Linked DNA regions of Tribolium castaneum. The protein of the gene in region 1 purifies or fractionates together with the protein of each later gene. This does not show direct contact. Links are inferred from orthologs where the notes say so. Each region holds a gene or a part of one and is shown in the gene's direction. Other genes may lie near its edges.

The links. Proteins that work in one complex are often made in the same cells at the same time.
Region 2: the proteins of Der-1 (region 1) and E3 ubiquitin-protein ligase TM129 purify together in Homo sapiens (affinity purification with western blotting; 3 studies listed by BioGRID). This does not show direct contact. The link is inferred for Tribolium castaneum from reciprocal best matches to the Homo sapiens genes DERL1 and TMEM129.

Annotation. Positions count from the first base shown.
Region 1 is NC_087396.1:17,558,488-17,561,763, reverse strand, and holds Der-1 (derlin-1), read left to right. Parts: upstream 1-1,568; 5' UTR 1,569-1,774; intron 1,775-1,836; 5' UTR 1,837-1,842; coding exon 1,843-2,196; intron 2,197-2,243; coding exon 2,244-2,648; 3' UTR 2,649-2,757; downstream 2,758-3,276. Other genes in the region: Dlc90F (dynein light chain Tctex-type), read left to right, coding at 3,091-3,276. UniProt on the Homo sapiens protein: Functional component of endoplasmic reticulum-associated degradation (ERAD) for misfolded lumenal proteins. Forms homotetramers which encircle a large channel traversing the endoplasmic reticulum (ER) membrane.
Region 2 is NC_087395.1:16,920,129-16,923,669, reverse strand, and holds E3 ubiquitin-protein ligase TM129, read left to right. Parts: upstream 1-1,319; 5' UTR 1,320-1,435; coding exon 1,436-1,678; intron 1,679-1,724; coding exon 1,725-1,936; intron 1,937-1,987; coding exon 1,988-2,372; intron 2,373-2,415; coding exon 2,416-2,688; 3' UTR 2,689-2,787; downstream 2,788-3,541.

The DNA of each region.
Region 1 (3,276 bases):
TTTCACATCAACATTGTGTTAAAAAGAAAATAAATGACTTTGGTCCTGTATTACGAGTAGACTGTTGGGAATAAAGTTATGCGCTTGTTTCAATTCATTGTCGCACATTTACAGATAGGGTTTTCGTAATAGACTCGTTTACTGAACGCTTATTCTCACATGCCAATTTTGTTGCTGAATTAGAATCTGAAGTTAGTTTTTGTCGTTATTGTGAAACTTTTTTAAATCCTTAAAATTGGTCAATTTTTGTGTCTACTAGTCAAAAATTCCTTCTGGTTAAAGTTAGAAACTTCTTTTTTGGAAATAAATGCTCAGTGAATAAGTAGTTTTTAAGTTTCAGTTTTGAGAAAAGAAAAATGGGAAAATTAGAACACACTACCAATACAAAGGAAAATACGCGGCAATGCCACTTCAAGCGCATATGGCAGTAACTTTAAATTGCAATAACTTGAGTGTCATAAATAATCATAAAACATATCGAAATGATTCTTGCACCAACAATTTATCTCAGCTGTTAGCTTCGTTTCATGATTATGCATAGGTTTAACTTTTAAGAAAAAAATTCTCATCTCTACTAGACAAATATGTAACGTTACAAGAAAACTGCTATTTTCTCAGTCTTCTTTTGTTGAAACTAAAACTTGTGTGTAATTGTTACAATCCACATCCATTGAGGATTTTTTTTTATAAAAAAATGAAGTTTCTAGCTTTATCCAGAAGGAAGATATAACGATGTAAACACAAAACTTGACCAATTTTAAGTTCTTCAAAAATTTCCAAGGAAACGCCTTTTTCATCATGAAGGCAATTCCAAACAAAAAATCGAAGTTGATTCAAAGTCAGCTGTAAATTTTGCATAAGAATCAGTTTAAAACCCGAAGGGACAAATAAATTATTAATTATTGTGCGCTGCTGATGGACCCTGTTGATCTAGAGTATATAAAATATGTGACGGCAAATGACTTTTGGACACTTATCTTGGAAAGACACCCCTTAAAAAAAAGGATAGCACAGGGACAGGAATATCGCTTTTAGTTCCAAGTGAAGTTACCTATTCTTCTTTTTACAAACTTAATTGGCGCAGACAGTACAAAATGTTTTGTGATTTCATCTTTTGTTTGTAAAAAAAATAATATGAAGACTTCAATATGTTCATCGATGCTCATAGTGCAGTAAGTTTTATTTTCTCGGTCTTTTTTTAACGAAAGGAAATAACAAAAAAACAAATTGTGTATCATGTTCTAAGAGCAAAATTGTGCTTCAAAGGCTAGACCCATGGCGTGTAAGTTTTAATACGTAACGGAAAATACAAAATGATTTTTACAAAACCATTTAACAAGTTTTTCTGTAATCTGCAATTGTACCTATTAATAAATAAGATGTGTTGGATTCTATGTTGCAAACCCCGTGTTGAGGTTTAAAGTAAAATATCTTAGCTCTAAATTAGTCAATTATAGCACAGACATCAAAATTGGGGAACTTTTTTGATCTCAAAAATGCAGATAGTTTCCTGAAGCCAAAAAGGTAAAACTAGGCAACCACCAATCCCTATCACCTTTTTGACATCTACGTCACCCATTTGGAAATTTTGACAATTGACAGCCCCATTGACTGAGTTTGATTTGTCATGTTAGCGAATTTATTGAATATTTAGAACCAGAAAACACGTATCCTTTTCACACTTCTTCGGAATTAATGATTTTTAAAACCTACCACTTGGTGTTATGACTGTGTTACTATAAATACTGGGAGAGTTGCATTACCAAATTTGCTAGTAAGTTAGGTTATGTTTGTTTGATTTCTTTATGTTTTGTTCAATGAAACGTTGTATTTAAGGTCGAAATGTCTGATTTCGGGGACTGGTACCGAAATGTACCGATTTTTACAAGATATTGGTTATCATCAACTGTTGGACTGACGCTGTTGGGACGTTTTGGTATCTTGAAGCCTCACAATTTAGTTTTGTTCCTAGAGCCCCTAAAACGCTTCCAAATATGGAGGCTGGTGACTTCAGCCTTGTATTACCCTCTCAATCCAAGCACCGGCTTTCACTATCTGATCAATTTATATTTTCTTTATAATTACTCAAGGAGGTTGGAAGAGGGTGTTTACGCCGGCAAGCCTGCAGACTATTTCTTCCTCCTTATTTTCAACTGGATTTGTTGCGTCATCGTGGGATTGCTTCTTGAAATGCCCGTAAGTTCTTCAAAACTCTTTTAAGTCGAAATAACCCTTTTTTCCAGTTATTGCTAGACCCCATGATCCTCTCAGTACTATACATTTGGTGTCAGCTTAACAAAGACACGATTGTGAATTTCTGGTTTGGAACCCGCTTCAAGGCAATGTACCTCCCTTGGGTGTTGTTGGCCTTTAACATGGTCATATCAGGGGGTGGTGTCCAAGAACTGATTGGCATTTTAATTGGACACTTGTACTTTTTTCTCATGTTCAAGTACCCACAAGAACTGGGGGGCCCTGCTTTAATACAAACCCCCTCCATTCTAAAGCAATGGTTCCCGGATCAAGTGGGCGGTGTACATGGGTTTGGGGTGCCCCCACAGAGACAACAAAGACCAAATCAAGAGCCCCGCGGCAGGTTTTTCGGGGGGCATAACTGGGGCCGAGGCCATGTCCTTAACGGGAACTAAATCTGTAATTGTGGTTCATTTTATTAAGTATATTTAATTAAAGATTTAATTACTACTACAATTTAAGTGCTTTTGTTTTATTAATGTTTTAATAAAATTCTGGAACGTTTAGTGTTTTTGTCGCATTGGTTGGTAATAGTGTTTATCTAAATGTTTGGTAGATAATGTATAAATTCCAGCAACTGGATATTGATTTTATTTCAACATTTATTTATGAGACAGTTTTATATAAAAAATTTCGTTGCGTGATTAATAGAAATTTTTTTATGATATCGGTGACGTTTTGTTAGGTTGGTATTACCACGCCTTGTCACTTTTGACGTTTCCTCTTTTGAAAGGGGTGAGTTTGTTGTCATTCCTGCGCCGCTTGAGGCGAAATATCAGTGAGATTACAAACCATACAGTGTATTTTCCAAGAATTAACTTGAAGAATTTTAGTATCATGGAGAAAACGAATCAAGAAGTGTTGGACCAAGATCTGCAAGAGGAGGGCCAGTTCGTGGTCGACGATGTGAGTAAGATCATTAAAGACGCGATAGAAACTGTGATAGGAGGCAACGCATATTCCCAAAATAAAGTCAATGACTGGACGACTTCGGTCGTGGAATGTTGCACATCAGAATTGACG
Region 2 (3,541 bases), on another chromosome or scaffold:
TTCCGATTTGTTCTCTTTTGTTCCGGATTGTTCCCGTTTGTTCTTGTTTTACATGCAATCTTAATTGCAACTGAATTTAGTACCAAATTTAGGGAATTTCTGGAAATACTTTTAGATTTGCAAAATTCTGTCTTTATTATTATTTTATTATTTTTATTATTATTATTTATTATAAAAAAATTAATCAGATATGTAAATTTTAATTGTAAAAAGTCTAGAAGCAATAACTATAATAAGTCTTCTGGATCAAGAATGGTTTTAAAAATATTTTTTTAGAAAGAATAAAAAAATCGAATTGATATTGGTTGTTTAAAAAAATGTGTATATTACTATCTAATTACTCCTAATATTTACTAAACAGGTAAGAATAGTTTATGAAAATAATTAATAAGCAAGCTAGAAAGAACAATGATGTATATAGTGAATAAATGAAAATGAATAAAAAACCCCACTTTAATTGTAAAAATAAAGCGAATTATTAGTATTAAAGTTATTTACTACCCTTCGTTAAAGATGAAGATTTGAAATTTATACAGGGTGACCCGTGGGTGCATGCATGCTCCATAACTGTTTTCTATGCAAGCTATCAACTTATCTTTTTTAAACGCTACGTGTTATAATAAGACACGTCTTAAAAATATTTTAATCTTTATACAGAGTGTCGATATAATGTACCCGAGTTTTGTCGACTTATCTGTCATAGTTTTTGTCTTATGTCATATTATGTATGAAAATTACAACGTGCAAAGACCCACAAAAAATTATAACTTTAGAACCATTTAAGATAATTTAACAATTGTTTTCCAGTCGATTCCCTAAACTCTAGCCCATCTTTTGAAATAAAAGCGAACTCGAAGTCGATATTCCAACGCCTACTACAATTTTCTGAAAATGACAAACTACTAATTGCAATAACTCGATTTTTTCAAATACAACACCCTGTATTTTATTGTCCCATTGCATGGCATCTTTTATGAGCTTTTTGTCGATAAGGTTTGTGGGGTCTCATTTGTAAAATGTGTAAGATTTTTGCGAAATAAAATTATTGATGGTTTTTTCGAAAAAAAATCGAGTAGGCCGTTGTCGTAAAATTTATCACCATTTTGAAAAATTATCCTTTACGAAATTTTAAAGTGTAATAGAAATATCTAGAAGTACATCACAAAGGAAACAATTTTAGTAGTCTTTATAAAACCAGGAAGTTATATACAAACAGAAAACAATCTAAAAGTTTCCAAAAAAATCTAGACTATGAATCGTTATGCGGCGAATAGAATTAGTATAATAACAGTGTAAAGGTAAAAAAATAACAATGAGAAATTAAAAAAAATTAAATTAACAAAAAAGTAGTTTCTACCGGTGGCGACACTGTGCGTTGACGTTCCCAAATGCCGTAACCTCAAAAAATGCGTGTTGTTTATTTAGTCCGTTCATTATGTCCGAAGAGGTGATTTTCACCTTATTTTACCTAATTTTAAGCTTCTGTATTATCTACCCCCCTGTCGAGTTCGTGTCTGCCGGCTTCACCATCCCTGCGCTCTTCAGCCGAGTGTTGGGCTCCGAGGACGAAAACTTCGTAAGTTACCACATAAAGCGCACAATCGTAACATTGGGGGTGTATTCACTGTTGCCTTTGGGGTACATCACCGCCCTCTTTGCCTCGGAGTATTTCCAAGACGTGAGTTGGCTTTGGTCCGGGGCGTAATCGCGAGGGTGGCTTGTAGGTTAGTTCTTTGATAATCGACGGTTCTCTCTTTTGGAAAGCGTTTTTCACGACCAGTCTGGCGTTGCCAATTTTGGCGCTCTATCAGATTAGGAACTGGATAATCGACGATTTTAAACACCACCCGATCGCGGTCAATTTGGCCAAGTTTTGCAACAATAATAACAGGGATTGGAAAAGTGTCGCCGGTGACATCAACACCGAATTTAGACGGTATTATTGCGACTATAATCACCTTTGAGGCGTTTGATTGTATCGTTGCAGCGTTGATAAAATCTGCGTCCAAACGAGCTCGGTGATTAAAGTGATAGCCACCGAAAATTGGATTTTGAAAGTGAAACCCTTTACGATTTCACTGGCGCATCAAAGCGACGCCAGTTTAGTGGTCCAGAAAGCTGACACGCACCGGATTTCGCTCCAAACGACCAACGAAACGCAATACTTAAACATCGAAGTTAAGTCGGCCCGAGTCGGTGTCGAGACGTTTATTATCCGCATTAATGCCTCGGATTTCAAGGACTTGGAAGACAGAATAGCGAGAGATATCACCATTTTGCCCAACGTCAAGTTCCATAAATCTGTGACCGAGCAATTCGTTGACGTCTTCAAGGAGACTATTAAAAATAACGCGCGCTACGAGACTAGAGAGGTTGGGGGGCTTTGCCTGGATTTTCGCTGAAGTTTGCTTTCAGGAGCTGGACCAATGTATTGGGTGCATGCAGACGCGCCCCAGCGTCAAGTTGCAGAAGCTGTGTGGGGATAACGCGGGCGGGAATGAGGGCTGTACGACTTGCTATTGCAAGCCGATGTGGTGTGTTGATTGCATGGCGAAATGGTTCGCTTCGAGACAGGAGAGCGACCAGCAGAGTACGTGGCTGTCGTCCAAGTGCACGTGTCCGATGTGCAGGGCGAAGTTTTGCATTTTAGATGTGTCGCTACTTGAGAGTATCGACGTTGAGGAATAAATTGTTGCTTAATTTTAACTGTATTATTTCTTGATAAGGTTTTATCTGGAGTTGCCTGAACGAGATTGCTAATTTGGAAAATAAAAATTTATTTTTAAAGAGTTGTTTTATTGTTTCCCATGAAAAAGCAATAAATGTTTTGTTTACACGATTGATGGGAAAAGTCGGTTTATGACCTGCGAATTGCAATATTTATGGTTTCGTTACATTTATTAGTTAAAAATTTGATGGTTGGGAATTGGGAATTGTAGCTTTATTTTTATCACTGTTGATTCTAGAACCTAACGGAGTGGTTTATTGGTGTTTACATGTAACATTGGTTTTGACCTAATTTTACTTTCGGGTTGCTTATCATTGTATGAAATAATTGCAAAATTATGTTATAAATTTATTGCGAATTGTTTATTTTTACCCATTAGTACTACAATATATGTAGTATATTTTTTCCGATTTGTGCATCGTATTCGAAAAGCCACTTTATTTGCTCTAATTGTGTATTGTGTGCTTTAGATAAGAAATTTTATTATTTCTGTCTCAGGCGGTATCTGTTTTACGTTACAGATCGAGTGCATTTTGATTTTTTAATTCATTTTAAAGTGTTTTTTTTCACTGCGTTTTTGGATTAGTTGAGCTATTTTAAAGCCGTTTTTATCAGCTTTCTCTATACCTGTGTTTAACCGTTTTCGAGTTAAGATTTTTTGAAAATTTTTGGATTTGCACCGATTTAAAAAATCGGTAACTTTCTTAGTTTTAGAAATTTCGAAATTATATTTGGAGAAGTAAAAGAGAAAGCCTTCAGTGTGTTCAAAATTGGAGAACAAGTTAAGGATTTAAATTTTATTAAATTTAATTT